Drosophila melanogaster: one gene and its partner. The gene in region 1 interacts genetically with each later gene. Each region holds a gene or a part of one and is shown on either strand. Other genes may lie near its edges. The genes, in order: Fadd and PGRP-LE.

Region 1 (3,887 bases):
TAAATGGATTTCATGCCTGCCCTGGGCAACATTAACTCGCTGCACCAGAGCTGCTCAAATTCGCCTTTAAAAATCATCATTATTATTGGTAGTTAGAACGAATTCCCTAAATATCGACACTTTTACTTACCTTCCTGCTGGTCATCATCTTCACTCCCGCTGTCAACATCCTCCTCATCAACTTCGGCTACTTCGTCCAAATCGCTATCCTCATCTGCCTCATCCTCCTGCTCATCGTCATCTGATTCCGAATCCGAGTTGGCCACCTGAATTTGTTGCTTTTTTGGAGGCTGTTTTTGTTGCTTCTTCTTGGGCAGCGGCGCCTCCTGGAAATCCTCCTCTAAGTCGTCATCTGCGGGTCGAAAAGTGAATCTTACATATATTTATTAGGCACACACGTTTTTAATCGTACCCTCATCCTTGGCCACATGCTTTTTACTGAGTTTCTCCGGTTTTTTACTGGGTTTATTGCCATTTTGTTTGGGTGGCTCCTGCTTTTGGGCGTTCTTGTTTCCCTTCTTCTGCGAGAGCTCCTTCTTCATCTTCTCCCGCTTAACGATCTTCTTCATCAGCAGCTTCTCCCGAATAGACATATTGCTAACTATGTATGCTTTTTAATAGAGTTTAATGGTTAAAAACAGAATTCTCAAATAAAATATTGCGCGCACGTGTTGCTAACCATTCACCCCGAAGCAAACGATATTCAGCCAGCTGTGCCTATCGATAATTGCCAATTCGATAGTTCAATGCAAAAGGTGTGACCCTATTTGTAAACAAATTTTCAACCGTCTTTTGAGGATAAGAGAAGCAAAAGCGTTTGCAAAACGTATTTTATATCCATTGTACATTGCTATCTTCAACTATGTGACTTGTGTATTACGAGTTAACAATATTTTTTGTAGACTATCTTATGATAAGGAAATGTGAATTCCCATTTTGAATGGAATACGTCAATCACATTTTCTTATAAGATCGTACAATTCCGCGTTGACACATATTAATTTAGTGTGCGATTTTTATGCTCTGTCCAACCTTGGAATAACATGTGAATAATTACAATAAAGGCACATCTTTGTCGCTCTCCAGCACATTAATTACTAGTATCGTAACAAAATGCATATAAAGTGCATATAAGTGAATGCGTTCTAGTGCGACATTATCTGCTCCACCCTCTTGCGCAGATCATTGCGACCACAATCGCCCAGGGCGCGACACAGACGAAGCAGAAAGTGCTTGGGATCGTGGCAATCATCCTCTTCGATGAGCTGCAGCAGTCGCAGAATCTGGGACTTCAAGTCGTGCGGGTAGCGCTCCTCGATTGTGTCCATTTGGCCCTCGCCAATGCCCGCCGATCGGCCCAGTCGTCGCCAATAGCGACCCAGTTCCTCGGATATTTTCTTAAAGACCATCGTTCGTTTGTGATCCGTAAAAGCAGCTGGGGTGGCATAGTTTTGGATTGCTGTTGGAGGCACAGCGGCAGCTAATTCCGAAACTGATGGCTGAGCATTCTGGGAAGCTGGAGCAATACGGAGCTGCTGACGAAGTTCCTCGGCCAATCGGAGTTCCTGGTACAGATTAACCGGATGTCCAAGAATGTTTTCCGGCTTTGTGTAGGCGCTCAGAGCCTCGATGAGCTGTGGCATATTGCCTGATATCCGGCGCAGTGGCTCCACATTGTACTCCGATAGTTCGTCCGCTCGTTCCAGGCAGTCAATTAAATCCTCGATGGTTCGTATGCAATCCGATCTGCGTCGCGAACCAATCTCTTCGACAAAAATTAGTTTCAACTGCTCCACGTTCTCGGTGCATCCATCAATGGCGATTTGTTTGAGGCTGTCGTAGCTCCAGTGCCTGCCTGCAGTCATTGTGACTAATTTACAGAGACGGTATTTTCAGCGGTCTTAAGTTCCCAAAATGTATCAACGCAACTTCACTCCCTGATGTAGTATGACCGTATGGCCAAACATTTCCTTACCTGTTATCGATCAGCACTGAATAGGTGTTTGAGCAAAATGAGCAAAAAAATATCAAATACTATTTCCATACAACTTAAAAAATTTAAAATAAGCTTTAAACTTGCACCACCTTGCATGTTTGGGATCTATTAGTGAGACCGTTACATAGCCATTCGATAACATCGATAACAGATGGCACGCACCATCCCTAGTTTTGATAGATATATATTTATGTTTTTGTTACTTTTACTGAAGCAACTAATGATAAACGCAAACGTGTAGACGAATGGAAATATCCATTAACGTTTTCGTATTCCTCCTCTACACTCTGGTCTTGATTTACCTTCAGCATTTCGTTAACAAGTACACAGAGTTCGTCCGCAGCCTCTAAATGTTGGGCCTTCAGTCATACGCCAGTTCCTCGGATGAAGAATCGGACCATGCGGACGCCGCCACAGCCACCACGAATTCAGAGCCCTCCGCTCCCATTCCGGATCACCTGCTGCCCGTGGACAAGACACACTCGCTATCCAAGTCCATTGCTGTTTGTGCGGCGCCAACGGTGGTTCCCCTTGGAGCATCGGCCGTGCCCCGAACTCTGGATCCCACGCTCAAGGAGGTAACCTACAATCCGCGCTATGAGGAGATGTATGCTCCGGTAAAAGGTCCGGAGCATCCGGACCTCACCATGCAGCAGCGCGCTCCGCGGAACACCCTAGCCGGCTACGTAGAGAAGGCCCACATCAATGCCTTCGAATTTGAGAACCAGCGACGCACCTTTCACACCTACGGCTACGCATTGGACCCCAGCGTAGACGATCAGGCGGACGGCCAGTCTTTTGTGGGTGACCTGCAGTCTGCGTACGATGACAATGGCAAGACGGTATTTGAGCCGCCCAAGGCAAAGAAACTGCGCAAGCAGGAGAAAAATGATAATCCCGAGGACATTGAGGGCTTTCTGGGTCCCTGGGGCAAGTTCGAAAACGAGGTGTCGGTGGCAAAGCCAAATGAACAGGAGCGCGCCGAACTGGACGAGCTGCTGTCTAAGCGACATAAGCGCGGACGCATTCCCGAGGATAAGCCGCTCGAGGAGAAGTCGACGCTGCACAGTGAGTTTAATCCAATAGCCACCGAATATATATCGTTAATAATCTTTTCCTTTTTTGCTCCACAGTCAAGGATGCGTACGACTATCAGGGCCGCTCTTATTTGCATGCTCCTCATGATCTGGGCGTGAATCTACGATCGAATGCACCACCGACCAAATGCTTTCTGCCCAAGGCGCACATACACACCTGGTCGGGCCACAACAAGGGCATCTCCTCCATCCGCTGGTTCCCCAAGACCGCTCATCTTCTGCTCTCCGGATCGATGGACTGTCGCGTCAAACTGTGGGAGGTTTACGGCGAGCGACGCTGCATACGCACCTTCTCCGGTCACCGGCAGGCCATCAAGGATATTGCGTGGAACAACAGGGGTACCAACTTCCTGTCTGCCTCGTATGATCGCTACATAAAGTTGTGGGATGCCGAAACGGGCGATGTAGTGTCCCGATTCACAACGCGTAAAATGCCTTTCTGTGTGAAATTCCATCCGGATAATAGCAAGCAACATTTGTTCGTTGCCGGCACCTCCGACAAGAAGATCATTTGTGTAAGTAAAATTTACAAAAGTAGATGCTCATGTTACAATTGTTTTCCTATCAATTCGCAGTGGGACACTCGCAGCGGTGATATTGTACAGGAATACGACCGGCACTTGGGATCTGTGAGCACCATCACCTTTGTGGACGACAACCGACGGTTTGTGACCACCTCGGACGACAAATCGATGCGCATATGGGAGTGGGACATTCCTGTGGACATGAAGTACATTGCCGACCCCACTATGCATTCCATGCCGGCGGTCACATTGGCGCCCAATGGCAAATGG
Region 2 (5,188 bases), on another chromosome or scaffold:
TACACTTGGTCGATGTTTACCGAATCTAGTCGCTCGATTCGATTGTTCGACGGAATGGGAATTGGCCACCATATCATTGATTTAAAGGCGTTAGTTAAGGTTGTTCTGATATCAGACGGATTCCTTAATAAATGCACTGCAAAAAAAAAAGCAACGTAATTATAATCGTTAAGGAGGGGGAACAATGGCTTGGGTATTATTTGTTTATTTGTATTTATACGTATTTTTTTTTTTTTTGCTGGCCCAACTCGCTTCAGTAGTTTTCCCGAAGACGATGTGCGGGTGTTTTTTGTGATTATTAATTTATTTATTTGTTTTTTTTTTGAATGGGGTGCAACAGTTGTGCTGCAATCAGCACAAATAAATCTTTGTGGGTGATTCATAAGCTGTCAAATAAACGCATACAGCACTGCACAGCACAGCAAAAAAAATGTTGGAAAAAAAATAAAAATAAAAACACGATGTAGAACAAAATATTGGTATTGGGCAGAATGGCCGAAAAGCGCTCCGAATTACCTGCGCATTAACAATAACGGCGCGAATCGGATAGGGATACTATCCAATCCAACACTATCCAATCCCAATCCACTCCACGCTCTCTATATGTAAACTTAGCACACACGAACGCAAATTTACACTGGCATACATGAAATGCAATTATTATTATTATTATTATTATTATTATTTTTTTGTTTCCACGGTCTGTTTCAGATCCGGTTGCAGCTTATGCGAAGCTAATTAAACTAAAACTATAACTACAACTTTGTTTACACAACACACCGCTGGCCGAATGCAACGTCGAATTGTGCTAAAGCGAACCCATTATTTAAGATTTCATTAAATCCGCGACGTTTTTTCCTCCAGGGCACATCATCTGATGTTGATGGTTTTTCTCAAACTTTGCGCTTATTTTTACCGGCACACGGCGCAATCTGTTTGGCTTTGGACTGGGTACGAACTTGTACTTGTACGGTACACCGATAGAACAACATATCCGACGGATAGCGACGAACAAACGGAACGGGATGGGTTTGGCGGATGGCGGATGGTGGATGCGGATGTGGATGGAAATTCGGTACGAGAAGAAAAAACCGCAATTCGATTATATCTTATGGCTGGCGTTTGTTTTAATTTTAACTAATGTTAACTAGCTCTCGCAATCGAAATAACACAGACAGACGCAAGCGATGGCATAAACAGAACTACCAATAAGAAATTATCTCAAAATGTATTTCAGGCAAAAAGTAAAACAGTAAAAGCTCTTCTCATTGAGCATTCGCATTCGCACTCGGCTGCTTCCATCGAAAAATTTTTCGAAACTGAAAGCAGAAATATATTTTTCTGGCCATTCCAATTCGACTCGAAACTCTCTCGCTCTCTTCCTCGCTCTCTTTGTGCGCGGTTCCAATCGGAACCAATTGTGGAACCTAAGAGAGCGTTAATTCTAAGATTTTACATAAAGAGAATCCGTTTTTCTCTTTCATTTTCATACATTTTTATGTTTTCTCTTCCCCTAAATTATGTTAAAAGCTTTAATACCAAAGCTTCACTTTATTTGACAGCTGATTCAGCTGAAGGTGATTGCCGCCCTTTTTTGAACTCCACTAAAAAATGCCTATTTTGGTATATTTGATTAGGTTATCTGTTGATTACAATATATTTAAGCTGTTTGTCCAATTAGCGAAGATATTTAAAAAGTTTATTTCACTTTTTGATATGCTTTTAATTTAACTTTTAAATTAGACTGTGTTCCTGTTCGGAATACGGTCACACCGGAACAAAAACATAAACAGACCTTTGAATGCATTCCACTGTGCAGTCAAAAGTAATAAATATAAGCTCCTCAGTTTTATACGTCAAACTATCGCTTAAGCAATGTATAAAATTAGTTTATAAGTTGGTTACATTTTAGTTTATTCTCTTTTAATGGCTCTAAGTGACTATTAAATCCGTGTTGTGGTAGCTCTTTGGTTGGCTTGAATAGCCAGCAGTAACTAAATATAAAAATAAAGAAAGTAATTGAGAGACTTGGAGGGAAGAACAGCGCATACGCGAGAGTGGTCGAGTGAATGTTTACAGCGCATGAATTAGGTTTTGGTGGTTTATCTGAGTACCTCTAGCCCCATGACTAATGCTTAAAGATGGGCTGACTTGGGTGTAATCACCTGCCTCTACAGGTTTATTATCAAACACGGTGCAGTGTTGCAGTTAACTGCTTAGCATTAAAGCCCAATATAGGCAAGAGTGTTGGAAAGCTCATCTTTTCCAGCACTGGGTGCATTGTACCTCCAGTCGATTTGATTGGTGAACCAAACTGGTTATATTTTAGCCAGTGATAAGGGGTTTTCGGATCTGGACAAAGCATTTGTATGTTTATATATTTATATATATTATATTTATTTATTTATATATATTTATTTACTTATTTATTTATTTATATATATTTATATATTTTCATAGAACAATATATATATGTATACAGAAATATATGTCCAAAACGGTTAAAGAGGGATAATTTAAACTATTTTTTTTTGTTCGTATTTAAATTTTTGTAAGCTTTATATGGTTAATCAAATACTTATCGAAATCTGAAACTCAACTAGTGGATGCGGCCCACTGTATGTACGATACCGCTAAGCTCCCTTCAAAGGCAGTGGAATTGTTCTAAATGCGAACATCGATAATACTTATCGATATCTAGACTGATCCTCGATATCCATGACAATAATTAATACACATGACTAAATATGCAAAAAAAAAGCCCCAAGTGGACTGATATGCAAAAAAGCATTTCACCACGGCACCTGCGCATATAATGGTGGATAGCCTGTGGAACGTCCTTATCTTATCGTGTAAGGTGGACACGACACGAACACTAATCAGAGAATAGAGCAGTTCTAACTCACAATATTGATAAACAAAGTAAGGGCCAGCCGAGAGATACACGCGCATTTATTGGCAGCAAACAGAAGCCAAAACTACGGACATGTCCGAATCGGGAATCAAAAAGTTGAGCCAGGAGCGGACTCGCGAATGGTTGGCTAGTCAGGAGGACGAGGAACTGGAGTCCATTGCAGAGTCCTCGGTTGTGGACAGCTTGGACTACGATTATACCGAGGAAGAGGAGGATGCCGACCAAAATACCAGTGAAGAAATCAGCACTATGACACTAGGCACTCAAATCGGTGCGTAGTACTCAAGATCAAGTTTCTATATTCAATTTATAACACTTTCAATATATCCCCACCTTAAAGCTACCAAAAAGCATTCGATCATCAGCGACACCATAAGGGACCTTATGAACTCGATCAACAGCATTCAGACTTTGGGCAACGTTAATATAAGCAACTCCACGAACGTCCATATCGGCAATGTTACCAATATTAATGGAAATATACAAATCATAGCCGATGGCCTTACTCAAAACCGAAGAGATCGGCGGCATGTTTCACCACCGAGAGATAACGCTCCCAAAACTCCGACACATTTCGAAGACGACTATCAGGACGAGTCGGAGGAGAGGGTGCGCTCGGATGTGTTCATCAGGCGCCAGAGTAAGCTATCATTCACCAGGGGATGCATACACGTTAACCATAGGATACCGATTTCACTTACAGAATTCAAAATACCCAAGGAGCTGTCCGCCATCATTCCGCGCTCTTCGTGGCTAGCACAGAAGCCCATGGACGAGCCACTGCCCTTGCAACTGCCTGTTAAATATGTGGTTATCTGTGAGTATTCAAGTTTGCTGCACGTTTTAACCATTTTTTTGCCAACTGATTATAAATCAAGTTGTCTGTAAAAGTATGACGCAATAATTAAAACAATTTATACTATTTGATCTGACCATCATGCTTAGCACTCACTAACCTAAGATTATATCGTATTATAACTCTTTTCGAATATATTTAAAACCTTGATTAACAAATATTGTTTTACCACGCAGTACACACAGCTACAGAGAGTTCAGAAAAGCGGGCGATCAACGTAAGACTTATCCGTGACATGCAGGTAAGTATTTCGTTAGCGAAATTAAATCATATATGCTCCGAACTATATAATAATTATGTATATATATTTCAGTGCTTCCACATTGAGTCGCGGGGATGGAATGACATTGCGTACAACTTCCTGGTCGGCTGCGATGGCAACATCTACGAGGGACGCGGATGGAAAACGGTGGGCGCCCACACTCTGGGTTACAACAGGATCTCGCTGGGGATCAGTTTCATTGGATGCTTCATGAAAGAACTCCCGACGGCAGACGCCTTGAATATGTGCCGCAATCTGTTGGCCCGCGGCGTTGAGGATGGTCACATATCCACCGACTATAGATTAATTTGTCACTGCCAGTGCAATTCGACGGAGAGTCCTGGTCGGCGATTGTACGAGGAGATACAGACATGGCCCCACTTTTACAATATCGAGGAGGAGGAACAATGAGGGACAAAAGAAGAGCACCATTTCACATACTTAGACTTAAATGCACCCGAGTTACGTTTATAATGTTGAACATTAAATCACCTGTTTATAAATTTTCCAGCTACTGGCAGTTTCGTTAAGTTACTTTATATTTTGGTATAGTTTTTGCAGCGCTGAAAGGTGGAAAAACCACAAGATGTTTCGGAACCAACATCGCCTACCTGTTTTAATTCACAACTGAAAGAGAAGCAACAATTATACTGCACAAATATGAGCGAGCTAGCACCACATAAATACAGACAATAGTAATGCATTTGCTGAAAACAATCTATAATTAAACAAAAATTTGCGTACAGTCAAGTAAACAATTAACAATTAGAAGTGATTTTCTTTAAGCTTTGGCGGAGCCGAATACTTTTCCTTAACGTGAGCACGGTACTCCTCGTCATCATCGTGGCACTCCTTATAGCATAGAGTGCAAAAGAGTTCCCCACCACATCCGTGGCATCGGAAGTCGGCGTCTTCGTTACAAATATTGCACCAGGGCAATTCTTCGGTGTTGCCGGGCGACTCAGTGTTAATTGGACTAATTTCACTCTCGGAAGGTTCTGGTAAGCGCGATTCTGCTACATACTGAATGGGAATACGAAAGTGATGATTTGGCTTAAAAAAAATAATGCTACTATATAAATGCGAACCTTTTTCAATATGTTCTGTAGAAGTGTCTCGTCATCCTCTTCGTTGTCCGCGATACTTTCCATCTGGG

The links.
Region 2: of Fadd (region 1) and PGRP-LE, changing one suppresses a phenotype caused by changing the other (phenotypic suppression), as found in Drosophila melanogaster (one study listed by BioGRID).

Annotation. Positions count from the first base shown.
Region 1 is NT_033777.3:22,032,541-22,036,427, reverse strand, and holds Fadd (Fas-associated death domain), read right to left. Parts: upstream 1,974-3,887; 5' UTR 1,866-1,973; coding exon 1,146-1,865; 3' UTR 811-1,145; downstream 1-810. Other genes in the region: pit (pitchoune), read right to left, coding at 131-352, 413-593; CG45099 (uncharacterized protein), read left to right, coding at 2,242-2,346; CG6015 (uncharacterized protein), read left to right, coding at 2,347-3,064, 3,130-3,608, 3,669-3,887.
Region 2 is NC_004354.4:15,800,506-15,805,693, reverse strand, and holds PGRP-LE (peptidoglycan recognition protein LE), read left to right. Parts: upstream 1-1,813; 5' UTR 1,814-2,367; intron 2,368-2,603; 5' UTR 2,604-2,986; coding exon 2,987-3,185; intron 3,186-3,254; coding exon 3,255-3,554; intron 3,555-3,617; coding exon 3,618-3,731; intron 3,732-3,946; coding exon 3,947-4,011; intron 4,012-4,083; coding exon 4,084-4,443; 3' UTR 4,444-4,541; downstream 4,542-5,188. Other genes in the region: CG15602 (uncharacterized protein), read right to left, coding at 4,798-5,055, 5,121-5,188. UniProt on the Drosophila melanogaster protein: Peptidoglycan-recognition protein that plays a key role in innate immunity by binding to murein peptidoglycans (PGN) of Gram-negative bacteria and activating the imd/Relish pathway. Has no activity against on Gram-positive bacteria.